4 linked regions of the Mus musculus genome follow. The protein of the gene in region 2 interacts with the protein of the main gene of each other region in a pairwise test. Links are inferred from orthologs where the notes say so. Each region holds a gene or a part of one and is shown on either strand. Other genes may lie near its edges. The genes, in order: Knstrn, Nupr1, Stx18 and Ranbp1.

Region 1 (6,818 bases), on a different chromosome or scaffold from region 2:
CTTCATGAGGAAGACCGGAGACCTTACAAGGGATCCACGGAGGCTCTCCATGAGGTTTTATAAATGGAGAAGGGCTTTGAAAAGCAGGCTGGCTGGTTTCCTTGTAAGATGGGGACAGAGATAAGGAACAGTAGGAAAGCAACTGCTTGCTGCAGGAAAGCTAGCTTCCTGTTAACTCCTTTTGTGTTAAGGATTAAGACAAAACTTTTTATCAAGTAGGCAAGTCTGGGAGATTTTTGGCTGTTTCCACTTTAATTCAGATCGGTAAGAGCAGGTAGACATTTTAGTTTCACCTTGGTGACTTTGATTCTCGTTTGGTTTTTATTATTATTTTCTTCATTTACATTTCAAATGCTATCCTCTTTCCTAGTTTCCTCTCTGAAAGTCCTCTATACCCCACCCCGCCCTGCTCTCCAACCCACCCACTCTTGCTTCCTGGCCCTGGCATTCCCCTGCACTGGGGCATATAATCTTTGCAAGACCAAGGGCCTCTCCTCCCATTGATGGCCAACTAGGCCATCCTTGGCTACATATGCAGCTAGAGACACAGCTCTGGGGGGTACTGGTTAGTTCATATTGTTGTTCTCCTATAGGGTTGCAGACCCCTTCAGCTCCTTGAGTACTTTCTCTAGCTCCTCCATTAGGGGCCCTGTGTTCCATCCAATAGATGACTGTGAGCATCCACTTCTGTATTTGCCAGGCACTGGCACAGCCTCACAAAAGAGAGCTATATCAGGGTCCTGTCACCAAATCTTGTTGACATATGCAACAGTGTCTGGATTTGGTGTTTGTTTAATGGGATGGATCCCTGGGTGGGGCAGTCTCTATTTTTAACCTGGCTTTTCAGATAGTTTTGAAACAATGGCCTCCTGTAATTCTGTTCCCCTTAAAACCACAAAACAAAACCCTGACACTGTACTCCTGCTCTGTAGTTGAGGGTGAATTTTTTTTTTCAAAAGTTTATTATTTGTGTGTGTTTCCTCAGAAGCTAAGAGGTCATTGGATCCCCGGAACTGGTGTGACAGATGCTGGAGGTAAACACTGGTCTTCTGAAAGAGGTCTCTTCACTGCCGTGTCATCTCCAGCCCTGCTGAGCAGGATCTTGAACTCTCAGTCCTCCTGCCTCCAGCTCCTGGGATTGATTAGCGGCAGGCATGATCTCACTACTAAGCCTGATTTTATGCAATGTTTGGGATTGAACCTGGGGCTTCATGTATGTTATTAAGAATTTTACCAACTAAACTACATCCCTAGCCTGGCCTCCTGCATCTTTCCTTTTTTCATCAGAGGTTTCATTTGGGTTTATAAGGGAAAACGGTGTGTGGGTTGCTGGGGATCGATTCCAGGGCCTTGTGCATACTGAACACATACTTTACCAGTGAATACTTTCATCTCTCCCACCCCTCAAGCCCTGAAAGTCCATGAGAAGTCTTTTGAAGTGTCATTTTAAAGATGGTTTAATCTGAGTGTAAGCGCCAAAGTGATATACACACAGGGGAAGGCAGTGGGCATGCTCAGTCAGGACTGTGGCTGGAGGCAAAGCTGGAAAAACCCAGTGGGAAAGCCTGGGCTATAAGGCGGCAGAGTACTGGGCTACAAGTGCTGTAGCTGGCGGGTAGCAGGTCTCAGTAAAGCACGTCCCTTGCAGCTTTACCCTGTGTTGACGCCAGGTTGATTTACTTATGAGGGATGATAGTTGGGGCCAGTGTGATTCCTGCACATTCACAGATCTCTGGCTGGAAGAATGGAAAGCAGAAAACCTTCTAGGAGTTTGTTTTGACCAACCTACTCTGCCCTCTATGTTCTGTGACAGAGATAAGACACCAATGGATATGTGTAACTTCTAAAACCAGTGCAGTGGAAAAGCAGAGTCAGTTAAGCTTAAGAGAAATAATGCCTGTGTGTTCTTACAGGTTTGGTGAGTCCCTTTCCACATGGTCTAAGTCACATGTTGACTGGTTGGATTCATCCCATTTTATGCAAAATAGAATTGGATTTGGATATATATCACAAAATTTAAAATGTGAGATACATGAAAATATCAAAGTGAGGTCATTATTTTGTATGTTAATTGAAGAATAAGAGTGAGACCAGGTATGGTGCTGCACACCTTTAATCCCAGGCAGAGGCAGGAGGATCTTTGAGTTTGAGGCCAGCCTGTATGAGCAGAGCTAAATGCTGGCAGCATCTTAGTATTGTTATGTCTGTGACCCATCACCTGTCTCCTATTTTGTAATTCTTCCTCACATGCCTAAGGCAATCTAGAATTGTATCTAACTGGTTCTAATAAAGAGCTGACAGGCAATAGCTGGGCAAGAAGTGGAAGGCAGATCTGGGCAGAGAGAGGGATGCTGAGGGAATATTTATACTCTTTATGACATAATCAACAATATGAGATTGTTTAGCAATTTTAGCCCTTTAAAGTTGGCACAGGTAGTGTGTGTGTGTGTGTATACAAAGGCATGGAAGGCAGGTTAAAATCTTTTGCAACCCAGAAGTCATTGTTCAGTATACGTTTTGATAGATATATAAGAATGGACTATGACACATAAGACAGCTCCATGATGGTGGGACACCTGCTCCCGTGTGGATCCTATAGCTAGTGTCCTTCAGTCCACTGCGTGCATGGACAGCAGCAGCGCAGTGCACTCCATGAGACTGTGAACTCCCTCATATGACTTCTGCTAGGACTTCATCTTCGAAGAATCACACGTCAAAGGAGCAGATGTGGATCACACAGGAAGCCAGAATGCAGTGTTCTATAGGACTCTTCCTGGAGTCCCATTCTGTGTATGGTGAACCTATATAAAGTAGGTATGCTTCACCTGCTGTGCGATGGTCTTTAGTTGTACCTTATAAACCTTATAAACCATTTTATACATTTGAAAAAGTAAAGAAAGAAAGAAAAAGTTAAGTATGGGACATTACTCAGCTTCGTTGGGGATCGGGACTCTGGTCAGTCTTAGTGATTTTGAAGGAGACATTAGGCAAGTTTGGTAAAGAAAACAGAAAGCTCAAAAGCAATGGGAATGGCCAAAGCAAAGGCTGCTGTGTTTCAGCTAAGGGGGAGAACATGGCTGCATTTTGGTGATCCCAATGGGGAGGGCCTGTTGCACCAGGCTCTAGGTTGGCTCTGACAGACAAGCTGCAGACATACAGACAGAACACAGGCATCTGGCCACCAACACGGTGAATAGAGCATGGCACACACAGCTACGAATGTGGAAGAACTGACAATCCTGGAAGGCAGGAGGCCTTGTCACAGGCACGGAGCGGATGGAGGGAAAGGCAGTCACAGTACCTTGGACTTATGCCAGTATGCTCAACTCACAGATCCAGACCAAACACCGCTTAATCCTACCTCCTCCTCCTCCTCATGTTGAGGCCTGTTCCTTTTAACACAACTGTAGCCATTTGTATTCAGGCTCAATGTTAGTCACAAGGTGAAATTAAGGTCATAGTGATTAGTGTAACTGACACTGAAAAATGCTACTAACAAGCAAAAACAACGTGATTAAATCACTTGTTCCTAGTTATCTCAGTGTTCTGAAATTCCCTTGTTCACCGCCTGACCACCATCTTTCTTACCTCACTCAGGACCAATTGGCTTAAAGGTTGGCTAACAATACTTTACCTAGTAAGCCAGCTGCTCCTCTCCTTGACCTTTAAACCTGGTTTTTCCTATAGAAAGCCTACTCCGAGAGCAGACTGGTGCCACAGTTGAGCTTTTCCTTCTCGTGGACCCGGACTTCCATATTATGATGTGCGTTCACTAAACTATTCTTGCTTAACTGAGATTGGTGTACATATGGTTTGTGTGGCAATTTCCTAATCCCCAACATCTTCCTTGCTTTTCTGAGACAGTATTTCTGCAGCCTAGGCTATCCTCTAACTCAAGACAATTCTCCTGCCTCAGCCTCCCAAGTCCTATGATTGTTATAGATATGAGCCACCACACTGGGTTAAAGAGGCTACTTTCATTCCCTAGTGTTAGTCAGAATATTAATATTCATAGAAACATTTATTTCCAAAGCTCTAGTTGTAGTTTTAGGTAGGTGCTACTTTGTATACCTCCACCCCCATTTATTAAGCCAAAAAAACTTCAAGAATTTCAAGTTCATAAAACTTAACTCAACCAGAGAGACAAGGGGACAGCATGGCTCACAGTCACATCTCTCGCACAGCACTCGTGCTGTTGTGGTGTGGGCCTTCTTCCCATGTTTCCGAGTCTCTAGAGTCTCCAAGGCAGCTGGTTTAGTATCCTAGTTCTAAGGGCTGCTGCTCTCTCTGCTGCACAGGAAATGGAGTCAAACTCCCAGGTTCCTCTCTTGCAGGAGAGCTGAGCCATCTGAAGGTGGGGCAATCTGCTTAAAGGAGGAACCCCAGCATCAACTGGCCTTATCGGATCAACTGCTGCAGAAGGTCTTTACCTAAGGGATGGTGAGTCCTTGAAGATATCCTAAGTAGCCTCTGCCGAGGGTTTATCCAGGAAGAAGCCGTCCGGCCACCTGCCTTGAGCTACATTTCTAAGAGCTGCTCCATTTCCTCTAGGATTATTGTGAAGTCACTGGCTTCGTCCTTACATAAGGTCTGCTGTTCCAGGAACTGGACACTCTCCTCTTCTTTCAGCTTCAACTTCACCTTCAAGGCCTGAAAGGGAAATCATCCCAGAGGGAAACCCATAACACAACTCTTACAACAAAGACAGCACCCGGACCAGACCGTTATACCCGTGCTACATAGAGGGGGGCGACCCCAGTACCAGACAGCATCTTATTTCCCACCTTAAAATTTATCTGTGCTGGCTCGGGGAATTTCCCTACTCTGTATTTAAACTGGAACAATGAAACCGTTTGTGTCTCCTGCCCCACCATTTGTCTGGCAATCGGAAGGCGTCCAAGAATCTCACCATGTGGACCAGGCTTCAAACGTACGAAGACCCCTGCTGCCTCTGTAATAGAAGGTGTGTGCTACCGTGCCTGGCTCTTACATTTTCTTTTCTTGGTAATTGTGTGTGTGTGTGTGTGTGTGTGTGTGTGTGTGTGTGTGTGTGTGCGTGTGTGTGTGTGTGTATACCCTTGGATATCCATGGAGAGGAGAGAAACAAAAGGGCATCAGATCCCTAGAGCTGGAGTTATGAAGGCATGAGCTGCAGAGTGTAGAACTTGGGACCTTTGCAGGAGCAGCAAGCACTCTCAACCCTCTAGCCCTACAATCTGGACAGTTCACCCAGGTCTCCTGAGAAGAGCTTTTTAGCATGGATTTCAGTCTCAGCTCTCTGAGCATACTGCGGTGTGGCCCATGGGAGGTGTGGAGACTTTGCTCCCCTGGGCCTTGCAATGGTTTTATCCCCAGGAACCTTTCTAGGGTCCTCGGGAACACAGAAAGAATTTGTGGAAGAAAAGCATCTTAAAAAAAAAAATGGATTCAGTACTAAGTCTGGGACTTTAGTTACCAATGGCATGCCAGTGAGGACAGCATGAGGTATTATCCTAGGGAAACTGAATTTTCTATATTAGATATGTAACTCTTCTATAAATCTAAAATTATTTCAAAATAGTTCATTAAAAACAAACAAGTATACTGGGCCTGGTGCTATGGGCTGCCTTCTATGGCACATGTGGGACTTACCCACCTTACCCCAAGTCGTACCAGCTGTTGTTGTCCCTGCTGGGCGCCCCGGCCCTGTTCCCACCCTGACCTCAACCCTAGGCAGACCCTTGCCTTCCATCCTTTTTGCCCAGCTATGTGAATGGGTCCATCGATTGGGACGTCAATCGTGGCGAGCTCTGATGGGCTGCTTGCAGGGAGCCCAGACTGGAGTGTAGTCTCTGTCTTGGACTCCTCCAGAATGGAAGGAGGGAGTTGAGCCTTGACCTAGTCTGATTTAGGAGTGTGTTATTTGTTATATCCCTAGAGAGTTGATCCTTGTTGCTCCGTGGCTGCTGACCTGAGTCAGCCCTACCGGGGCAGGGAGCCCTGGCCATTTGATGTCCCCCCCTTCTCCATCTTTGTCCCCAACTCAGGACTGTAGGAGCCGTCCCTTTCCCCCCAAGGAGCAAAGCCATAACAGGGTGAGGGCCACTCCTGGCAACTCTCCAGAAGCCCAGCCCTCAGGAGGTACAACTGACTTGGGGGTTTGTATTCCCAGAGCTGCAACCACGGTAGGGAGTGGGTTGGCTCTCAGCTCTGCAGTTCTCGGAGGCAGGGGCAGTCTCTCTCTCTCACACACACACACACACACACACACACACACACACACACACACACACACACAAAGCCAAACATGATCCAAGCAAGGATGGGGGGGATGGGGGCAGGTGAAATCGCTTCAAGGGTAAAGGTGCCTGCCACCAAGCCTAATAACCGGAGTGTGAGCCCCATGCACTGGGGCATGGACGCACTATGCACCCACATACATTCACACTGAACTGTAATAGGAAAGCAGGGGAACTGGAGATCTCTTTGCAGTTGACTATCCCTTGCTCCTTCCGACGACTAAAGCTCAGTTTTTAGTACCCATGGCAGGTACCTTACCAATGTCTATAACTCTAGCTCTAAGGGGTCTGAAGCCATCTTATGTCTCCCATGGGTACCTGCGCATACGTGACATACATTCACAGAGACACAGAAGTAAAAATAAATGTTAAAAAAATAAGTAACTAAAAAGCAAGCCAAGCATGGTGGCTCACGTCTATAATCTCCATGAAGAGGATCATCCTGGGGCTGGATCTCTGGGACAGAGAAAAAGAAAAGAGGAAGGAAGGATAAACCAGAGAGGTGGCTCAGCAGTTCAGTGGCTGCTCCTGCAAAGCTGA
Region 2 (7,964 bases):
TGTAAGCACTGCCTCTGTGGGCATCTGTGTGTTTGTACACATGTGTGTGTGTGTGTGTGTGTGCTTATGTATATGACTGTGTAATGTGCTTGCCTGTGTGTGCACACGTGTGCACCTGTGTGTATGCTCGTGTGTATACCTGTATGTGTGTGTGCCTGAGTGTGTACACCTGTGTGTGTGCATGCCTCTGTGTGTGTGCCTCTGTATGTGTGTGTATGTCATTAGTATTCTGTCTAAGCTCCACCCCACAGTTACCTGGCAACAGCCAGGTAGGCCTGACTCACTATAAAAGGGGCTGCTTGCCCCCTCCTCCTTCTCTTGCTCTTCCCTTCTTGCTCCTGCTGTCTTTCCTCCCTACCCCTCCAGTCCCTTCTCCCCTCTCTTTCCATGTGCTCATGGCCAGCCTCTACTCCTGTTCTCCTCTACTTCTCTCTCTCTACCTTTCTCTGCCTCTACTACCCTCTTAACCCCACCCCCACCCCATGCCCTGAATAAACTCTATTCTATACTATACCATCCTGTGGCTGGTTCCTCAGGGGGAAGTGCCTTAGCATGAGCCCACGGAGGCACCACTTCCCCCATACCTCACCACACCTCCATAGAACATATCTCCCTTTTCTTTATTTTTTGTTTTTGTTTTTATAAACATATCACACGTGGTAGCAGGAGGATGCTTTATTCCCTGAAACAGGGTCTGTCACTGAACTTGGAGCTAGGCAGCAGCTAATAAGCAGTCCTTCTGTCTGCTTCACTAGTGTCACAGTGCTGGGGGCAGAGGTGTGCACATGGCCGTGCCTGGCTTTTAACCTGAGTGCTGGGATCTTAGCGCGGGCCTTCTTGTGCAGCAGTGCTCTCACCCACAGGCCATCTCTCCAGGCCCTGGGCCGGAGCTTTAAAGCAGCGCTGACACAAGAATCTGGAAAACAGATGCTTGGTTTTGTTTATGTTCAGGGGAGAAAGCCGCAAACAGAAACACAGCCTCTTCTTAACCAGGGCAACCAGGGCCTGCAGCAGGCCTGGGGTCACATCCGAGCCTTGTGCTGACACGGAGGGAGGTTCACAGCCCGTGGACGTGGGCAGAGGACTTGATGTCTGGCCAGGGTTGAGAGGGTTTGGTTTTTCTGGAATCCAGTTTTGTTTTGTTTTTAGATGTGGAATGTTTTGTCTAACTCCCTGCCTGGAGACAGCAATGCAGATAGAATTGGTGTGGGCACCCTTTCTGGGCTAACATGACTCACAGGGTTCATATCCTTCCATCAAGAGTAGGAAATTCCCCTTTCCTCCGAGCTCAGCAGCTCTGTGGAAGAGGAGGTGGAAAGATTGTAAGAGCCGGGGAGTGTGGATACCACGAAGGAAACAGTGTCTTCCAGACACAACAGGACTGATTGATACACATATGAACTCAACACGCTGGCAGCCTGCCTGCGCCTGCCCAGGTTCAAGCCACATGGGGTCACAGCACTGAGAGGGGAAAGTGGACATGGACTCCCACCCCTAACCAAATTGACACCTGCTTACAAAGGAAAACTTAGTTTCCTCCAATAGAGTCTCACTGGCTGCATTAACCCCAGGTAAGGGTCAGCCCCATGGCCAGCAGGAGATGCCAACACAACAGTACTTTTATCGGCTTTCTTTTCTCACGGTGTTTTCATCAGACATGTTTTGGTCTTATTGGTCCTTTGTTTACATATTATAGTTTCTGATTTTGTGTTTTTATGGATTTGTGTGTGTGTGTGTTTTGTTAGGACTCAACCCCTGGACAAATGGCTAACTGAAGTGCCTATTAACATATCAGGGCAGATGCTGTCAGCCTGCCTCTCTCAGCATTGCCAGCACCTATTACGGAGCTGTCCTGGCTGGTATACCCCACATGCTACCCTAAACTCTCCCTTCCCACAGTTTCTCTGATTCCTAAATAAGATGACTATGCTAGTATCTTTGCCTTTTTATTACCTCTTGGTCTCTGGGTTCTCAGGTTTTTTTGTTTTTTTGTTTGTTTGTTTTTTGCCTCTTGGCCACTTGGTCCAAGGTTCCTCTGTCGACCCTCCTCTCTTCTCTTCCCCCTGTCTCTTTCTCTCTCTGTCTCCCACAGGCCCTGTTAAGTCTGCTGGCCATGTTCACTCTGGACTCTTGCAGATAGCTCTGCTTGTGCTCTCCCTCATGTCTACACTAAACCTTCTCCACCATACCCAGGAGCCGCATGGCCTCTGCTTTTTAATTTTTTCATTCATATTTCTGACGACGACGACGGTGACAATGATGATTCACCTGTTCGTTTCCTATAGAGTAAAATTTGGGGGCATGGGGAGGGTCTGGGAGGAGTTGGAGAAAAGAAACCTTGATCAGAATACATTGTATGAAAACTTTTTTTAAAATAAAAAAAAAGTAGAAAATTTCATTTCACATGCTTTTTATTTGAACTTAAAATTCATACTAATTCTTATCAAACAACCCAAGGGAAGCTAGTATGGACTGAAAAAGCTTACTATTAGTTCACACTTGATTCATACTGGCTGGGTGTGGTGATGCACACCTTTAAACCTGGCACTCAGGAGTCAAAGGCAGGTTGATCTCTGAGTTCAACACTAGACTCAAATCTGGCCTACAGAGCAAGTTCTTAGCCAGCCACAGCTAAAACAGTGAGACTGCCTAAAAAACAAGGCAGGGGGTATCAAAGCACAAATACCTGTTTATTTCATTCTGCCCTCAATATATTATTTAAATTTTAGAAGTCACACGTATTTATTGTGTGTGTACATGGATAGGAATGTGAGGGTCAGAGGACAATTTATGGGACATTTTTCTCTCCCATACTGTATGGGTCCTGGAAACCGATAAACTCAGGTTGTCAGGCTTGGTGGCAAGTACTTTACCCATTGAGTCATCTTGCCAACACACAATATTTTATTTTAAATTCCTTTTCTCCACCCTTTTTTTTTTTGAGGGGGGAGGGTCAAGGCAAGGGCACTGTATGGGAACCCATGGGAAGTTGTGACTAATCCTTACACTGTTCCCGCTTGTGAAGGTTTTCCAGGCCTCATGAGTCTGCAACCTCTCACCAACAGAGCCAGATAGAGTTATCCTCTGTTAAAGGGGGAACCTGAAGCAATCAGAGAGGGAAAGTGACGTGTCCAAGGTCACACAGCAGGAAACACTGGATCTGAGCTGACTTGTGATCCCAGCATTTAGGATGAGGAGGCCAGAGAATTGCAAGTTCAAGGGCTAACCTGGGCTCCATAGAAGGATTCTGTCAGAAAGAAAGGTAGAGGGAGGTGGATCAGGAATCAGAGTGTGGAATCCAGGGTATTTGCTGTCTCTACCAGCTAGCTATCCTCCATCTTGCATGAGGAAGAAGTCCCTGGGGACTCTGTTGAAGGGGACTTTTCACAAAAATAGAAGCCTTGGGTGTGACAGGAACTGCTGACCAAGCAAGAAGTGGGTCAGTGTCCCTCCTCCCTCCCTTTTCAGTATGTATGCTGCCACTACCTCCTGAATCTGAACCAGACTACAGTGTGTGTGTGTGTGTGTGTGTGTGTGTGTGTGTGTGTGTCTGTCTGTCTGTCTGTCTGTCTGTCTAACTATGACCCAGGCCCAGGAGGGGCTTGTGGCAGAGGCTGAAATGATAGGAAGGACTGGCCTATCTGAGGCCCTCTGCTCTCCCTGGCCAATATCCCAAAGACTGTGCCCAGATCCTGTCTGCTTCCTCCGCCCCTGAGGCGAGAGCTTTCCACGTGGAAAAACACAGCTGTGCTTGGGTGAGTCCTGTGAGGGAGGAGGGAGGGGAGGGTGCTCCTCTCTGCTCAGGACTGCTGTCTATGGGCCCAGTTCTGGGAAAGGGCCAGATTGCATCAGACAGGGCTTGGAGGGCGGGGGCCAACCCCGTGGTTTAGGGAGGAGACAGCGTTATAAGTAGGGTGAGAAACTGGGAGAGGGCAGACATTCAGACAAGGAGACACAGGCAAGACTTTGGAGAGAGCAGACTAGGCATAATGGCCACCTTGCCACCAACAGCCAACCCTTCCCAGCAACCTCTAAACCTAGAGGATGAAGATGGAATCCTGGATGAATATGATCAGTACAGCCTGGCCCATCCCTGTGTCGGTAAGGTTTTCGTGGTAGCTCCTTGGTCAGCCCATCTGCTTCTCACTGGGTACCCCGGTTTACCTTTCCTAGCTAATCTATTCCCAACTCCCAAGTAACCCCTTCTAGTCTCATCTACTGAGTTCTGTCTCCCTTAGCCCCAAGAACTCACAAGTGAGCATCTCTCATTCTATACTTGAGTAAACAGCAAGGATAGAGTGCTTCAGACGTGAAGACGTGACCGCCCCACTCTGGCCATTTATATGCCTGTCCTAACCTCACACACCTCCTCTACCTCCTGCTCCACCAGTCGGGGGAGGTCGGAAAGGTCGGACCAAGAGAGAAGCTGCTGCCAATACCAACCGCCCTAGCCCTGGCGGGCATGAGAGGAAGCTGCTGACCAAGTTCCAGAACTCTGAAAGGAAAAAAGCCTGGCGCTGAGACGGAGCTGGAGGTGAGTCGGGAGAGCCGGGCCTAAGTGTGCCGAGCGGGAAGCGGGGAGCCAAAAGCTGGTCCTGGTGAGATGGCGCTGCAGGTAGAGGCTCTTGCAGGCAAGCAGGACAACCTGTGCTTGATCTCTGGGACTCGAGTGATGAAAGGGGAGAGAACCAACTGCAAGCTGTGTTCCCAGGGAGCCCTGCAGATAGATGTCCAGGCAGGGAAGTGATAAGAATGAAAACCCCATTCAGACCGAATTCCATCAGCTTGGATCAGATTTCAGGGCATCTAACGCCAGGCGGTTCACTGTCAGCATATTTAAAACACAGTACAATTTGGGAAGAGGTTTCTAGGCAACAGTCAGGTCCATCAGTTCAATTCCAGGAGCACAATAAAGCTTGAGGTGTGACTACACTGAAACTCCATGAGGGTGGGTTCTAGAGCTAAAGGCCTAGAATCTAGAGTGGTCTCTGACCAATAGCATGGAGGTCATCAGGCAGATGTGACATCTCTCCTAAGAGTGGGTAATGGTCTAGGGAGGGGAGAGTCTGGGATTATCATTCTGGAGAACTTGAGTGAGGTCGGCTTCTATAGCAAAAGCTGGGGAGGTCTGACTCCACACAGAGCCAAAAGCTCACCAGGTTGTTAACAAAATCCACTCTCAGATTTCTGAGTGGAATGCAGGTATTTGACTTTATCTCCTGCATTGAGGAGACACACGGCATGATTAAAACTTCTGGTTCTTAGTGCTTCTCTTGAGTACAAGGACCTCTGTGCCCCCAATGTCCACCGACTTCCATATGCTCAAAGTAGCACACGAGAATACGCATGTGCGCACATGCATGCAAACACATTGGCATATCAATAAATGAAAAAAATAGTGTTGGCCGGACAGTGGTGGCACACGCCTTTAATCCCAGCACTTGGGAGGCAGAGGCAGATGGATTTCTGAGTTCAAGGACAGCCTGGTCTAAGAAGTGAGTTCCAGGACAGCCAGGGCTATACAGAGAAACCTGTCTCGAAAAAACAAAATACAAAAAACAAAAACCAAAACCAAAACAAAACAAAACAATAGTGTTGTGACACTATTTTTATTCTACATCTAAAATAATATGAGACCCGTATTTGACTGAGCTCCCTGGTAACCAGAGGTGGGGGGAGTTCCCATGGAGCCTTTCCAATGGAGAGGAAGTTTGGTTTATGGAAAGGGAAACTGAGGCAGATAGAGTCAAGTACTTCTCTAAGGTAATAGCAAATATGAGTAGGAAAGGTGGAAGTCAAACTCTGATCTCTGTCCCTTTCGTTGCCTGCTTTCCCTCTGCACAGATAAGGCCAGACCACAGACACCACACCCAGCAATGGATACAGGACATCACACCCAGCAATGGATACAGGACATCACACCCAGCAATGGATACAGGACCTTGGAGAAATTAGGAGTTGTAAGCAGGACCTAGGCCTGCTTGATTCTTTCCCACCTAAGTGAGGTTCTGGAGAGGGAGCCCTTCCACCCTTCCAGACCCAGCAAAAGGGCAAGATGGGAGCAAGAAGCAGAGGGTAGACGGGCAGAGCTAGGAAGACAGCCCCCAAAAGAACTGTGGGGGAAATAAATCGGATGCCCTTGGGTGGCAGCAACAATAAATCGTACAGCAGTGACAGCTTTGGCGTGTGTTGTGTGCCTTTGTTTTGTTTGGGTGTGTTGTGTCTGGCTGTGTCCATTGTGTGTCTCTCTAGGAGGCTGATCTGGAAAGGGAGCGTCCTTATTGCGTAGCATATGGGCTTGAACGGTTCTCCGTGATTGTTGCCTTGTTCTAATGTATGCAGATGCTTTGAGGAGCCTGTTTCTATGGTTTCTTCCAGGGAAGTTGCTTTGTTTCTTTGCAGTGCTGTCCCAGAGACAACCTGTGGCCAGTCCCCTACATATTCTTGAGCACCATGAGGTCCTATTATATAGAGCTGCTTTTGGAAGAGAATGTTTCTGTTAATACCATTTGCAAAATGAAAAAAAAAAAAAAAACCCCAGCATCCATGATTTAAAACATGCAGAGGATTTGTTTTAAGCAACCGAGGGCTCAAATTCAGTCATGAAATACCAGGCTGGCTTCCAGGATGGGGTGCTTGGTGAGCTGGTGAGAAAGCTCTCCCTAAGCATGGTGGGCCGATGGGTCTCAGGACCAGAATTCCAGGCAAATGTGAAGCAAATGAGAAGATGGTTGAACCAAGTGTAGAGTGGCCTGAGGTCTGAGTTTGGAATGTTGCAATTTTACTCAGACGAAACAATGTTCTTTCTCACACACAAGTTCTATGAGTAAATACTCCTAAGTAACACAGGTGGCAAGTCCATTTTCTTGAGGCTGGTCTCAAACTCCTGAACTCAAGTGGCCCTCTAAGCCTCAAATTCTAGGCACCCGTATCACCACTCCCACTTAGCCTATTCGTTCTTAAAAAGAATTATTTATTCATTTTCTGTATATGAGTACCTGGTAGCTGTCTTCAGACACACCAGAAGAGGGCATCAGATCCCATTACAGATGATTGTGAGCCACCATGTAGTTGCTGGGAGTTGAACTCAGGACCTCTGAAAAGCAGTCAATGCTCTTAACCGCTGAGCCATCTCTCCAGCTCAACCCTATTTATTTTTAAGGATACCATTTGATAGTAGAACGCATAGCACCTGCTCACAGTTTAGTCACATGCTTGAAGAGAGAGGCCGGGGAATGCCATTCTTGGCTGCCAGCCATTTGCTAACCCAAGCTGAGGTGAGGGCAGAGTTTTATTAGAGGAAGAAGATGGAGCATACTGGAAGAAATAAGCAGAAACATTACTCAACACTCAGACTCAGCCAAAGTGGGAGGAAAGAGCCCTTGCTCTAGCTCTGGGCTGAGCCTTTGTCCCTTCTCACTAACCCAGCTTGTAGAGCCTGGAGCCCATTGCACTTAGATGGAACCGGAAGCTAGGGTACTTACGGAATCAGTGGCCTCACAGCAGGCTGTGGGTCAGCTGCAACTCTCAGGGACATATCCAGCCACCTCCTGTGCAGCTGGGAACATTAGGACAATTTCTGGTCTGGCTGGGCATGGTAGCTCACATCCGTAGTCCCAGCATTCGGAAGACAGAGGCAGGCAGAGTTTATGAGTTTGAAGCCAGCCTAGTTTATGTAGTTCCAGGCCAGCCAGGACTCATAGCGACACCCTATCTAGAGAAGGGGGTTGGGGGCGGAGGGAGGGAGTAAAAGCTGCTTCTGGTCCTATCTCAGTACTCCAGGCCAACCAGGACTCAAAGTGACACCCAATAAATCAAGCAACCAAGCAAGCTTTTGGTCCTATCTCAGTGTTCTCAGGAATGTCTGGTTTCCTTAGTGCCAAGAAGAACAAGAAGAATAGGACTGGCTTCCTTGAAGGCTGTCCAATTCTACCTCAGGGCAACTGCTTTCTGTGGACTACCAG
Region 3 (7,463 bases), on a different chromosome or scaffold from region 2:
TACAGAGAGGTCTCATGCTGGTTAATCAACTCATAGATCTTGTCCAGATACAACTAGATGTATTATGACAAATAACTCAGCAGGGTTGTGAACAAAAGTTTCCGGGATTGTGTGTTATTTCCATTCAGTATGTTAAATTTACTAGGGCAGCTAATTTGTCAAAAAGTCTTTTTCAGTATATGTTACAGAATTGGATGGCTGAATTTGAACAGATCCTTCGGGAATTGAGACTTCAGGTCAACTCCACGCGCTTGGACCTGTCCCTGACCAAAGGATTACCCAATTGGATCTCCTCAGCATTTTCTTTCTTTAAAAAATGGGTGGGATTAATATTATTTGGAGATACACTTTGCTGTGGATTAGTGTTGCTTCTTTGATTGGTCTGTAAGCTTAAGGCCCAAACTAGGAGAGACAAGGTGGTTATTGCCCAGGCGCTTGCAGGACTAGAACATGGAGCTCCCCCTGATATATGGTTATCTATGCCTAGGCAATAGGTCGCTGGCCACTCAGCTCTTACATCTCACGAGGCTAGACTCATTGCACGGGATAGAGTGAGTGTGCTTCAGCAGCCCGAGAGAGTTGCACGGCTAAGCACTGCAATGGAAAGGCTCTGCGGCATATATGAGCCTATTCTAGGGAGACATGTCATCTTTCATGAAGGTTCAGTGTCCTAGTTCCCTTCCCCCAGGCAAAACGACACGGGAGCAGGTCAGGGTTGCTCTGGGTAAAAGCCTGTGAGCCTAAGAGCTAATCCTGTACATGGCTCCTTTACCTACACACTGGGGATTTGACCTCTATCTCCACTCTCATTAATATGGGTGGCCTATTTGCTCTTATTAAAAGGAAAGGGGGAGATGTTGGGAGCCGCGCCCACATTCGCCGTTACAAGATGGCGCTGACAGCTGTGTTCTAAGTGGTAAACAAATAATCTGCGCATGTGCCGAGGGTGGTTCTTCACTCCATGTGCTCTGCCTTCCCCGTGACGTCAACTCGGCCGATGGGCTGCAGCCAATCAGGGAGTGACACGTCCTAGGCGAAGGAGAATTCTCCTTAAGAGGGACGGGGTTTCGTTTTCTCTCTCTCTTGCTTCTTGCTCTCTTGCTTCTTACACTCTTGCTCCTGAAGATGTAAGAAATAAAGCTTTGCCGCAGAAGATTCTGGTCTGTGGTGTTCTTCCTGGCCGGTCGTGAGAACGCGTCTAATAACAATGGGCCCCTTGAACTGTGAGGCCTTGAGAATCAGGCTTATGTCAGTGCTGCAGGCTGTTTATGGCAAACTCCTCAGCTCCTGCTCTGATGATCTCTGCAGTGTGTCACTACCCACATGCCCTGGCCCATGTGCCATGTGCACTCCAGTGATGTCTCCACTGGGAACTGAATGACTGAAGCCTGCCTTCCATTCTATAGCATTATACCAGGACGGGCTCCCTAAATGTGGGCACATTAGAGCATGTCCCCCTCTCTCCACCCCCGACAGGAAGACTAAAAACAGTACCACATGGCTGGTATGGTAGGGTCTCCAATAGCATTGTCTCATGAATGGAGACCAGCACCCGCTACTTCCAAGTTCTCAGCATCTACACAGGGCATTTGTGGCCAGCAATTCAAGTCTTGTTCTAACTCTTACCCATTTAGCAATGTGTTAAAACATGCTGCTTGAACTTTATATGCCCCGGTACAGGGGAATGCCAGGGCCAAGAAGCAGGAGTGGGTGGGTAGGGGAGCAGGATGGAGGGAGGGTATAGGGAACTTTCAGGATAGCATTTGAAATGTATATAAAGAAAATATCTAATAAAAAATAAATTTAAAAAAACCACGCTGCTTGTATGGCTAATGTGTTTCAAAGCCTGTAACATCATGAAGCTGGCTTCTAGACCTTATAAAGAATAAACAATGCTAGAGGAGAGGCCAGTATCAGCAGTTCATATTTGTCCTTGTCACTTGGTGAGTGACACAGGAGAGATAGGAGATAGTGTGAGCTGTACAACCTGACAAGAGCCTTATCCTAGTCCTGCCACTCAGACAGTATGTGACCCTCTGTAAGCTAGTAGATATCTCTGAGCCATAAATTTCCCTCTCTTTGTGTTGGGTGATGCCCACCTCTCTGGTGACGATTCCCAGGCTGTGTGGGTGCAGCCTCTAGACCTTGGAGCCTAAAAGACTGTGATTCCCTTTGCTGTATGGCTAGCCAGGGTATGTCACTGGATTACCATGTAGAGAACATATTCATGGTGGCATATGTGGTGTTACTACAGCAGGGCACTACCTGGCTTGGTCAGAGTCCCACCGAAAGGCCTGCCATGGGCCAGATAGGTCAGTGGTACTACTTGCTGGCTCTGAGAGAGAGGCCTGGAGCACTAGCTGTACTTCAGATAATGGGGCTGAGGAGAAGTACTGGCCACAGTGCACAGGGTGGAGTATCCACAGTGCAACCTGGTCACCCTGAAAGCTTTATGCTTTAGACAAAGTGACTCTCCCCAAAGTGAGCTGCGGTGCCAGCTCACTTGCTTTGATGGCTTCCTCTGTCATGCAGCTGACATGGCCATTAGGCCAAGGGTCTGCACAAAGTCTGTCTCCAGGGTTCATGGCCTTCACACACGTGGCTTGGGTAGATCTTTAAGATACTTATGAAGAGGGCTGGAGAAATGGCTTGGCAGTTAAGAGCACTGACTTTTCTTCCAGAGGTTCTGAGTTCAATTCCCAGCAACCACATGGTGGCTCACAACCATCTGTAATGGGATCTGGTGCCCTCTTCTGTTGTTTCTGAAGTCAGCTACAGTGTACCCATATAAATAAAATAAATAAATCTTTTTTTTTTTCTTTTAAAAAAGATACCTGTGAATCTTATTCTTATGACCGTGTACTCCCAAATGTTGTTAGCTTCTACCTCATCCATGCTGACTCAACTCTGCTGTGAGGTTCAGGCAGCTGTGAGTGAGCCAACGTCCCGGAGAGAAGAGGAAGGTATGTTTTAGTCCTAAGCTCACCGGGGAGCAATCTTCCCCCTCTCAGCTGTGCTCCAGGAGCAGCAGGGGCTGGCTGAGAGGCTGTCCCTAATTTCTGGAGCACAGTGGGTTGAAAAGCAGCTCTCCATTCTGCACCGTGCAGAGTGCTTCTGTGCTCACCTGTGAACACAACAGCAGCCCTGTGGTCTCATCCCTTTCTACAGATGGGGGTGGGGGATGGTGTGGAGGGATTGCACCTTCCTAGTACCACTGGATGCTCTAGCTCACAGGGGCCACTCTGCTCCTCAGCTGTGCCCCAGAGGGTTGCTGCGGGCTGATGGAAGCTAGGTCAGGGTGCTCTGAGTGATGTGACTAGCTAACAGAACATGGTGCTGTCTAGTCGGCATCACTCAGAGGCTTCTGGAAGAGGGCTCCAAGCTCTCTGTCAGTCCTAAGTCAAGACTCAAAACTGCTGGGCTCTGGATCCTTTTACCTGTTGCAAAACCTTTTCGGTGAATATCTCTTGGAGTCTGGAAATTTCAACGACTTTCCCTTCGATTTGCCTTCAAAAAAAGAATGGACAGGTGACATGTTAGCTGTTAGCTCCTGGTAATCTAAGATGAATGGTACACTTTTCTGAAGGAAACATTAAAGTGATAGCAAAAGAGGAAGGGCAGCCATGCCAGACAGGAGGAGGAGCTGGGCAGGCATGGTAGGTCCTCTGCATAGCCTAGTTACCTTGTGATACATGCTGGAGAAGCAAAGGCATGGTTACTTTGAAAGCCCATCTTTAAAAAAAAGTATTATTTCTCTCTCAAGCCAGCTCCCTATGGCAAGACAATGCTGCAGTACAGTCTGTGATCACCACGTCTGGTTTAGCAATCATGTGCTTGCCCAACCTGAAACACTGGCTGAGCCTTTCCACCATGGGGCAGGCTGGGGCTGAGGGGCTGAGAGTGGAAGCTGGCTCAGACTGACCTTCCCTACTCCAGCACAGCTGGGTCAGGGGCAGGAGAAAGGTGTGAGTGGCGAGGGATTCCCTCTAGAAAATATGGGAAGGGCAGACAGGAGACATGGAAGGAGCAGTACCAGGGCATGGAGAAGAACAGCAAGTGGATGGGCAGAAGAGGCCCGAGAGAGCCACCTCTGGGACAAAATAACCCTGGGGCTGTCCCAGGGAGTACCCCTACCCTGAGTAAGTCCCAGGCCGGGAAGGGCCACACTCTGAATGGAATGGGGTCCTGCAAAGACTCAGCTGTTGCTTCCACAGCACTGCCACGCTCCTGTGGAACACGGGCGCTTGCAGTTCACTGGCAAGTGGGTGTGAGCCTGGTCACCTGGAAGCAGGACTCCTTCACAAGGCCCCCACTGCATTTACAGCCACTCCACCCAAGCAGCCCCGTGCTAGTGCTATGGTTCTGCGTTTGGGACAGACTGTCTTTAGTGTGTGCTTTCTGCATGCTGCAGCACCCACAAGCTTACTGTAGCAGCCAGGCTCCTCCCACAGGCTCAGCCGGCCCTGCCCTGTTACACGTGGGTGCCTGGATGCCAAAGCAATTGGAAAGAGCCCCCAGTATCTGGGAAAACTGTCATCAAGCTACTAGCTACATACATACCTCACTTCGTCAAACAAGCTGTTCATTTCACCAATGAGTCGCTGATTTTCTTGTTCAAACTGCAAAGAAGCACACACACTCAGAATGATATCAGATGGGACTCAAGAAAGGGGCAACAAGGAACCTTTGACCTTCCACCCACCTTCTAAGGATCCCTGCCCAGTCCCGTCGGCCAGCACAGGGTATTGCCAGCAGATTGTCTGAAAAATACTGTACTCTGGGAGGAAAATGCTTGCCAGTCCAAAGACCAACTGTGCTACGCTGACTTCAGAGTCCTCCTGGGTCTGAACTCAGGAGCAGCTGACACTCAGACTAACTGCTGAGCAGAGGAAGCTGCCTCTGCGGCTTCAGACACACTCCGCTTTGATTCCACGGCTGCCGCCTATCTCCAGGTGCAGCATTTTAGACAGAGAACTTGGTGTGGGGAAGACTGAGGGGCAGAGGCTGGCAGGCTCCTTGGCCTGTGACAGGGACAGACCTTTGACCTCCCAGGGCCTTGTGTGACAGCACCAGGGCTGCCCACTGCCTAGAGGTAGCCCCACTGCCCTTTTAGAGTAAGCTCCACACCTGCTTCATACTGGCTTGTCCTAGTTTTCCTTCTGTGGAGTACAGTCTAGATCCTGAGCAGAATGCTCTGAAAAGAACTCAGGTAATACATGGCTCCTCGTGTTGGGCTCAGTACCCCACTGCCTATGACAACAGTGCACTGCTTCCCTGTTGGAGCTACCTGGCCCAGCAGAAGAGGCCTCAGGTACATATTATCATCTGTGATCCAGCCAATGTTCACCTCTGACGGCAGCCTCAGCCACTTCCACAGGACACAGGTGTATGCCACATTCCCCCATCTCTTCTGCCTGGCTGGGGACTCCAGCACAGGTGCCATGTTAAGGCCTGGCCCTAGAGCAGATGGAGGCACTTTCTCTGGGTCTTCCCTGCATGCAGCTTCACTGTGATATTTCTTAACTTGTTCAGGGACCAGCTTCTCTTGAGAGGCAGAGCCATCTTTAGTCCTTAAGCCCTGCACAAACCCTGCTACCCGGCCATCAGAACAGAGGCTTCATTCTACCCTAGACTCATCAGATCAGAAAATGGGAGGAGGAGGATGGGTGGTTCCTAGCACCACTTGAGTCATAGCAGCTGCCTTGCAGACTGTGGAGACAGTATTGCTAATGGCTCTTTCCATTAGGCATCACAGAGACCAGGTAAGAGAATAAAACCTTCACTTTGAGTCTGAAGGCTTCAGCTGTTAACTGTCTGCTCAGCAGTGACTTAGGAGGCCAGTATTCCTTGCGCATGTGTAATTACTTCAGTTGTAGGTGCTGATTTACATGCACCAACTCCCTCAGGTATGCTCAAGTTTGTTTTCCAGCGAAGCATTTCCTTTCTTTCTTTTTCCCCTAATGATAAAATATGGACCTGCCCTTTTAAATCTTGTCTTTCGATGCTTTGAAACTGTCCTTACAAACGATTAACTATCAGTCTAGGTGACTTACTACTGGATGCTGCCTGCAAACAAAGCCCTCTGGCTTCCTCCAGCCCAGGCATGAGATCCGGGGCTGCGGGGCCTTTCTAAGCCCTAGCAACTGACACTTCAGAAAGTATCACAGTGGCTCCAGCAGTCAGGCAAAGGCACAGGCTTCCCTGACCCTGGAGTTCTGTATGTCATCTCAGAAATACCCAGCCTTTCAAGGGACTGATGCCACACACCATCCCATGTGGTAAGGGGTGCTACTTCATAGCAAATGTTGCTACTGTTAAGAACTGTAATGTAAATGCCTGTGTTTTCTGATGGACATTCACTGGCAAACCTGCCCCGAAGTTTGGGTAGCAGGGGTTGCCATGTTGGCCACATACCTCATGGTATGGAAGCCAGGTATGAGAGCTCATGAAAATGGTTAGGTGGTCCTAGCTGGTCGGCAACCTTTTTCTTTTTTCTTTTTGGTTTTTCGAGACAGGGTTTCTCTGTATAGCCCTGGCTGTCCTCGAACTCAGAAATCCGCCTGCCTCTGCCTCCTGAGTGCTGGGATTAAAGGTGTGTGCCACCACGCCCGGCTGTCGGCAACCTTTTGATGGCTATCAGTTTCTTTGTAGACAGCTGTGAACCTTGCCCTTCCTTGACCCTGAGGTATGAAGTTGCAGTTGGAATCCCATCCCCTTCACCTTTGAATCTGTATGTCTTTGGTGAGTAATCCAACCCTTCTGTCCTTCTGCCTTTGTCACCAAAATGGGAAGAGTAGGACTTAGGCAGTGAGGTCGTTAAGACACGTATGTTGTCTACTTGAGTACTCTCTGGGAGACAAACTCCAGACAGGTTGTTAAGGTAAGGGGGGAGATGCATGGAGGTCCCTTTCACCTCAGATTCAATGGAGCAGCTGTAGCCCGTTGCTGTCTCACTCTGTCAGGCTCTGGAATATGTACAGGCAGTCCCTTCTAGGGTCAGTCTGACTGTGCAGCCATGTTGCCTCCTCACATAAGTAGGGACTTGGCCAGGCCAGGCACAGGGCTGAACCAAAGCCTTGGTCTCTGTCATCAACACCACAGCAGGATGTCTACATGCCCAGAGATACAACTTGAGATTCAGGTGTCCCTGAACAGGTAGGTGTCTATGGCTCACCACATAGTGGAGGCTGCAATACTCCCTCCTGGATGAGGCTAAGTAACATAACCCAAGTGGAAGTACTCAAGGCAGCCATGGTGCAAGCACAGTATGCTAAGCAATAGCTCCCTTTACTATCTGCCTCTTAGTGGTCAACTAGACTTTCCCTCTGTGAAGGGCTTCTAGTCTAAAAAGGGCTTCTAGTTTAAAAGACACAAGTCCATTAGTAATATCTTTCTATAGAAATCCTGTTTTCAATTTACCCCTCTTTGCTAAGTTTTACAAAGAAAGACACTATTGTCAAGGC
Region 4 (7,071 bases), on a different chromosome or scaffold from region 2:
CACAGGACAGCAGTGTCCCTTAGCCAGTTTGTATTTGCAGAATAGAAGGAAACCTTCTGGGTCTGAGTCCAGGATTTATGCCATGAGAGCCATCACAGCCATCCTCCTCTATTGCAGATACATGGGGAGAAATGCCAAACACTGGTCATAGGAAGAGACGTCCTACTTATAAAGTCCTCTCCCTAAGGGCATTTACCCCACTCAAAGGTTCATTTGCCTGTTACTACAAGGTAAAGGGTACTTGAACCTGAATCCTCAGTCCAGGGCCCGTGGACAGTTCTTCCAAGGCCACCTGTAGCCAATGTCTCAATTCTACTACATCAGGCCCCACTACATACACATATCTCTTCCTGGGATGGAGAAAACCAAGAAACAGCCTTTAGTTGGCTTTAGAGAGCAGCTTGGGGAATGAAAAGGTGCTTTTGCAGGAATGGGCAACGAGGGAGGTGTGAGTATGATAAAGTACATGTCTATATGGTAATGTCACCATGAAAGCTGACTTTGAATGCTAGCTTAAATTTCTTTAAAGCTTTAAACTGGACTGTAGTGGCACACACCTTTAATCCCATTGGGCAGATGTTCTGAGTTTGAGGCCTGCCTGGTCTACAGAGGGAGTTCAAGTACAGACAGAGCTACACAGAGAAACCCTGTCTCAAAATAAAAAAAAAAAAAAAACAAACAAAAAACAAAAATAAAAAAAGAGAAGAAAGGAGAAAGATGGAGGGAGGAGAGAAAAGGGGAGGGGAAAGGAGAAAGGCAGGCAGGCAGGCATTTGTAAGCACACCCTGCAAAGGACAAGGTCAGACTTAACAGGGTCAGTTTAATAAGGCGAGCATCAACAGATAAATATCCAGACTCTGGTAGGTGTTACTGGCAGTCTGCTACAAAGCAAGAGCAGGTCCTGTTAATGCACTCAGACCCCACCATGGGTCTTGCCCTGTGAGGTGGGGCTGCTGAAGCTCCTGAGCCCACAATGAGTCAGTCAGGTCAGGGCTTTCTTTTGCCTGTCTGTAAGTATGTGCATTATCATTTGATTTGCCTAGAAAGAGAGTGTCTAATTCTCTGGGGCTTCAGGCAATTGTGAGCTTAAAACTGAACTCATCCTCTACAAAAGCAGTAAGCGTTCATAACTGATGAGCCATTTCTCTAGCCCCACATAAGGCAGGTTTTATTCAAGTAGTCCCTAATCCTAATGGTGCTGAGTTTAGAATTCAAGGTCCAAACTCCTAGAGTGCTATTTGAAGATGTATTGGGGCACCTAATGGCTTCCAATAGGAGAGTGTAGGGCTAGACTCAGTTACACTATGGCACAGTACCATGGTGGCCTTTCCCTCCACTGAGCTTGGAGCTGCTCTATTAACCAGAGCCAATCAAAACCAGTTTTTCCTATAGCCAGATGTTTAGCTACCTACCACCTCCCTTCACCAAGATGAAAGCACATAATAGTCTCCCTTCACCTCTCTTTCTCTCTCACACACACACAGACCCTATACAAAAGCACAAAGCAATAGTTCTAGCAGCAAGGAAGCAGCCCACCTTGGCCCTGAATGCCAGTTGCAGCCACACACACTGTGGCCTCCAGCACCAGCCGGTACCGTAGTATCTGGTCCCTAAGAGCCACAGAAGGACACACCATTTTGACAAACTGGTTTTCTCCTAGGAGAAAATCAGGCTGGTAGACAGGTGGCCAAGGAGGGCTCCAGGCATAGACACCTTCCCCACCCCTCACATAGCCTTGTCAGCTGGTCCAGGTTTTCAAAGGCATTTTTTATTCACTATTTTTGATGACTATAAATAAGTGTTTCCACTATGGAAAAGAAAGTTAGCACAGTACATTTTCATGACTGGGGAATGGATTTCTGAAGTCATGTTCAATGGTGTCAAAACTTGGAGGAAAAAAAAGTTAAAAAAAAAACAAAACAAAAAAACAACCTGAAAATTGGAATTCAGTTCTTTATAAAGTCCCTTGTAAAAACAAAACAGAAAAACAAACCTTAAAGGGTAGGGCAAATTTTTAAAAAGAAAAGGAAAGGAAAAAGACAGAGTGATTCATTGTTTCTCCTCAGACTTCTCTTCAGCCTCCTCTCTGGCCTCCCTCACTGAAAGGGCTTCCAGCTTCTCGGCCACCTTTTCGGCATTATCATTTTTGCCTGGTCCTGCAAAAACAGGCAATTGCAGTAAGACAACAGAGAAGTCCGGCTGTGAGACTACACTGCTCTTGGCACTTACCTAGTGCAGAGGCCCGACCTGTTCCCCAAGCATCACCCACCACTCTCCCCAGATGGGTCCAGCAAGCTGCTGGTGATGTGTGGTCACTTACTAACCCAGGCCCCATCTGTCCCAGAAGAACAGAAAACAATTTGTTGAGAAAATGAGAAATCTATCTTTTTGTTTGTTTGTTTGTTTCATTTTTCGAGACAGGGTTTCTCTGTGCAGCCCTGGCTGTCCTGGAACTCACTCTGTAGACCAGGCTGGCCTCAAACTCAGAAATCCACCTGCCTCTGCCTCCCGAGTGCTGGGATTAAAGGTGTGCGCCACCACACCTGGCACGAGGACTATATCTTAAAAGCCCTTTCACTGCTGTTGAGTTCCAAAGAGCTGTAACTCAGCTCAGTACCTGAAACTGACCACAAATGCTAAGAGGCCGATGTGAGGCCAAAGCCTACAAGGAAGGCATCAGGCTGTGTCCCCAGGCAGCTGCACTGCCTCTGATAGGCAGAGGAAGCCACAGCATTCTGGACTGTTTCTTTGGCAGATGGAAAAAGCACCAGACTGGAGCTGCAGCCAGGTGCAGAGTGAATCTGCAAAGAAGCCCCACAACCCACCCACCCTCATCACTCCCGGGCACCACATCACCTTTCTTTTCTCTCTCTTCAATTTCTTTCCTGCATTCTTCAAACTTTGTTTTGAACTTTTGTGCATCTGTAAAAAGAGAAGGGACTAATGTCTGAAAGTTCTCAAAGTAGACTGGCAATATCCTAAAATTCTGAAGCGTCAGTCAATTCATGGTCCTCAGTGGCATTTTTTTCTAGATGGGATCCTGCTTCATATCCCTGGCTGTCCTGGAACTCAAGATGTCCATCTTCCTCTGCTTCCTAAGCGCTGGGATTAACCATGCACAACCCCAGTGACAATTTCTGACTATTTAATGACTGCAGTTGAGTCCCTCCTGAGGCCATCAACTCTGCTCAGCTATCTGTCTATCACAATCAGACAATCAAGGGTCAAAGCTCTTCTTACTATAGGCTCTACTCATGTTGGAAGGGCTACCAGATACACATTATATTCCAAGTCCAAGGGCAAGGCTCACTTTCACAAGAGTACCAGCCACTAGGGCATTTGCCATGGTACCTGCTGACTCTCCATGATCCCCAGGGCACAGCTTTGTGGCAATTCAGACTAGAAAGATTCCCCCATGGAAGAGAGATTAGCCAGGGCTTGCAGATCTCTGCAGTCTTTGCTGGTACAGGTGCCTAAGCGTCCGTAGGGGACACCAGTGTCCCAGTCTTGAGGAACCAGAAACCAAGCAGAAGCAGCAGCAGGAGGAAACTCTAGGGTGTGTCTCTGGTTCCACACACCTGATGGGAGTCAACTGGATGCAACAACTGTTTATACAGACCCCTAGAATTTCAGAGGCTCTGCATGCTTTGGGCTAACATCAGCTGCCCAGCAGGCGACCCACAGTTGGGCGGGCAAGTTCTGCTTACTCTCAGCATTTAGGAAGCGGATGGCGAGCAGCTCAGGCTTGGGGCACTCGTCAGCAAAGTCGGCGTGGGTATTCCAGACCCAGGCTCGGTCACTGCCAGCATTCGGCTTCAGCTCCATCATTGGTGTAACTAGGGTAGAGAAGCCTGTGAGGACAATGGCCAAACCACCCAGCCCGCACCAACCTGCTCACCAAGAGAAGGAACCCACTTCAGCCAACATGGAGTCTAAAATCTGAGATCCAGGCTGTTGTACCTGACTACCCTGAGCCAAGCAACCATGATACTGAAGTACTCTACTATGCCCACTTGCAAATTATCCCAGCTGGGCTTGACTGTTTATATCCCCTCAAGTTCAGAAGGGGTCAGAGACCCCACCTGAGTATCCTATCACTGGTTGTGTGCAATTCTGCCCTAATTGCATGTGCTCTCCTCCAGGAGGGGCTAAAGAATTAGGTTGGGAAAGACTAAGGGAGTGGGAGGGGCTTTACCTATTGAGGAGCCATCATCCCTGCTAAGTCAAAGCTTTCCAAGTACAGCCTGATGGGGTAAGGAGCACCAATACCCCTATGAATAACCCCTCACCTTTGTTCTTTAAGAAAGTCCAATAAACTCATTAGTTCCCAGAATACAGTTTGGTGGCATCACACCTTGACTTGTCATTAGAATCTTAAAAGAAATGTAGCTACTCCACTCCCGGAGAGGAATTTTAAAATGCAGGCCTACACAACTCTACACCTGACGCAAACCACATCTGCTTAAAACCAGAACAATCTTTATGTGGAGCAAGCTCAAGACCCTGAAGCACAGGCTGTCTGCTGACGTTTTAAGGGTAGCTACTCCAGCTCAAACTTTCCTAGGGTGACCAACAGATGGCTACAAACACATGCCCACACCAGCACGAACCTGGCTGACTGAAAGCTGGGAACAGAGGCTGAAAGCAGGGCAATCACCACATTACTATTTAGCCTGCTATAGTCCAGGAAGAACACAAGCAATGGGTACCAGAATCCTATGACAAACACGAGTGTGTCATGGAAAATAAGTCATGACTCAAGACATATTTATTCTGAATTCCTCAGGTCCTATACAGAACCAAGGGAGAGCTAAGCACTGACAGATAGCTGTCCTCCACTGATAGTCTGATCCTCTAGAATGTCACTTACTGGTATATATGCCCAGCCACTGGTCCCTGTACCCTTGGCAGTATTTCTAGGATTTCAGAGAGGCCCTCTGACCACACATGACAGCTAAAGTTGGAACTCAAGAGATCTGAGCTACACCAGCCTAACAGTGGTCTTAGGAACCGTACACTATCCACAGTCTTACTTTCCCCATACCTCACTTGATGCCTGTGGTTTGAATGAGAATGTCCTTCAGAGGCTCAGAATGGCTTGCTTGGCTCTAGGTAGAACCTTTTGAAAGGATTAGGAGCAGCCTAGTTGGAGTAGGTGTGGCTTTGTTGAAAGAAGAGTGTCACTCGGGTGGGCTCTGCATTTCAAAAGCTGATGCCACAGGCCCAGGGTCTCTTTCCAACTGCTGCCTATAGATCAGGATGTAAAGCTCCAGGACCGTGCCTATCTGCTTCCTTCCATGATGATAATGGACTAACCCTCTAAAACTGTAAGCCAGACACCAATTAAATGCCTTTTATGAGTATCTGTGGTCATGGTGTCTCATCACAGCCACAGAACAGTGACTAATCAATGGCCAACTTTGACCCACAACCTATGGGGTGCATGAGACGAGGAGAGACAGGAGGACTGCAGGGTCTGCTTGCTAGCCAGGCTTTGGGAGCACTTGATTCCTTCCCCCCACCCCAGAGACTGCTCCAAATTGGGACTGAGAGGAGACTGAGGCAACTGTGTGACAGGGAGGGCAAAGATCGCTCTCATGCCCCTGCCTCAGCAAACCACCTACTAAGTCCTATACCCTGATCTTACCTATCATCTGCCTATGTAACCAGGACAAAAGATCCTGATGGGCTAGAAAGTGTAGCCTGTAGAAAGGCAGTCTGTAGACTGTCTCAGTAAAGGCACTCTACAGGCCTCATCATTGCCATCCCTATAACCACAAGGTGAGAGGAGAACCGGCTCCTACAAGCCCCCCCACCTGGCTGCTATGGCCATGGCGCATGCACACACAAAGGAAAGAAAAAATGTGTTCAGCAGATAAAAATCACTAGCTATGGGGCTGGAGAGATGGCTCAGTGGTTAAGAGCATTGACTGCTCTTCCAGAGGTCCTGAGTTCAAATCCCAGCAACCACATGGTGGCTCACAACCATCCATAATGAGATTAGATGCCCTCTTCTGGTGTGTCTGAAGACAGCTACGGCGTACTCACTAAATAAATCAATCAATCAATCAATCTTAAAAACCTTCGGGGCTGTTTTCCAAACATGACGCTGTGCCTTCCTCTGCTGCCCATCTGAACCAGACTATCTCTGGAGAAATGAGAGTTTGAACAGATACCTGCCCTGGACAGATACCTCACTAGCTATGTAAGCTCAGCAATCTAGTATGATTCTAGAATTCAGGTGAAAGTGTTAAGAACAGATTCCACAAAATTGTTCTTTGGTCTATACATGGACCCCATCCCCACCAAAAGAAAGAAAAAAAATTTTTTTTCAAGTTTAGAAAATGTAGATTTTTGCATTAGAGAATCTACCAGGATCAAGAGTAGAGGATGGTTTTGTGCACTGTGCCCAGAGATCTGATTACAGTCTGGTGTTAGTATTGTCATGATTACTGAAGCATCTCCCATCTCAATGATGTATAAAAATTATTCTCCCTTACTTCTGATTGGTTATAAAGAGTTGATCAGCCTATAGCTGAGGAAGAGAGTTAAAGTGGGACTTCTGATCTCAGTAAGGGTGTCCTGGGTGGAGACAGTGGATGAGGAATTGCCAAAAGAACACAATGGAGCAGGAGTAGCCAGGGTGAGACTTGATGGCAGGTAACAGGGCATGTGACTGAGTTGTTAGAACAGATGTCAACACTGCCCAGCTATAGTGCATTATTTCAAGGCCTTTAAAGGAGGGTGTAAATCCATGTACTTTTACACAGCTCAAGATGGATCTAAACAAATAGGGAGGGGTGGCTCTTTGAGACCTCTTTCTAGGTACATAAGACCACACCTGGCCAAGAGCCCTCCTCATTTACCTTCTTGTCAGCCTGATTCCTTCCTATATCATCCCAGAAAACAGCTTAGAAGGAGAACATAACAGAAAGTAAAAAGAAGGCAGCTTTGGCACGGGATAGCTCCAACTTGCCCAGATAACATAAGTCTAGCCTGGAGGTCTATATCTACCCTGGACCTATCTTGCCCACAGCCTAAATTCACTGTCATAGTTCAGAGACTTGTTAC

Evidence for each region.
Region 1: the proteins of Nupr1 (region 2) and Knstrn interact in a two-hybrid assay, tested with the Homo sapiens proteins (2 studies listed by BioGRID and IntAct). The link is inferred for Mus musculus from reciprocal best matches to the Homo sapiens genes NUPR1 and KNSTRN.
Region 3: the proteins of Nupr1 (region 2) and Stx18 interact in a two-hybrid assay, tested with the Homo sapiens proteins (2 studies listed by BioGRID and IntAct). The link is inferred for Mus musculus from reciprocal best matches to the Homo sapiens genes NUPR1 and STX18.
Region 4: the proteins of Nupr1 (region 2) and Ranbp1 interact in a two-hybrid assay, tested with the Homo sapiens proteins (2 studies listed by BioGRID and IntAct). The link is inferred for Mus musculus from reciprocal best matches to the Homo sapiens genes NUPR1 and RANBP1.

Annotation. Positions count from the first base shown.
Region 1 is NC_000068.7:118,831,832-118,838,649, reverse strand, and holds the end of Knstrn (small kinetochore-associated protein), read right to left. Parts: exon of another isoform or gene 6,682-6,818; intron 4,651-6,681; coding exon 4,519-4,650; 3' UTR 2,438-4,518; downstream 1-2,437. UniProt on the Homo sapiens protein: Essential component of the mitotic spindle required for faithful chromosome segregation and progression into anaphase.
Region 2 is NC_000073.6:126,621,460-126,629,423, reverse strand, and holds Nupr1 (nuclear protein 1), read left to right. Parts: upstream 1-3,953; 5' UTR 3,954-3,989; coding exon 3,990-4,101; intron 4,102-4,390; coding exon 4,391-4,521; 3' UTR 4,522-4,534; intron 4,535-5,844; 3' UTR 5,845-6,178; downstream 6,179-7,964. UniProt on the Homo sapiens protein: Transcription regulator that converts stress signals into a program of gene expression that empowers cells with resistance to the stress induced by a change in their microenvironment.
Region 3 is NC_000071.6:38,124,088-38,131,550, reverse strand, and holds part of Stx18 (syntaxin-18), read right to left. Parts: intron 4,620-7,463; coding exon 4,561-4,619; intron 3,508-4,560; coding exon 3,438-3,507; intron 1-3,437. UniProt on the Homo sapiens protein: Syntaxin that may be involved in targeting and fusion of Golgi-derived retrograde transport vesicles with the ER.
Region 4 is NC_000082.6:18,238,038-18,245,108, forward strand, and holds the end of Ranbp1 (ran-specific GTPase-activating protein), read right to left. Parts: intron 3,837-7,071; coding exon 3,708-3,836; intron 2,923-3,707; coding exon 2,857-2,922; intron 2,806-2,856; exon of another isoform or gene 2,680-2,805; intron 2,157-2,679; coding exon 2,050-2,156; 3' UTR 1,942-2,049; downstream 1-1,941. UniProt on the Homo sapiens protein: Plays a role in RAN-dependent nucleocytoplasmic transport. Alleviates the TNPO1-dependent inhibition of RAN GTPase activity and mediates the dissociation of RAN from proteins involved in transport into the nucleus.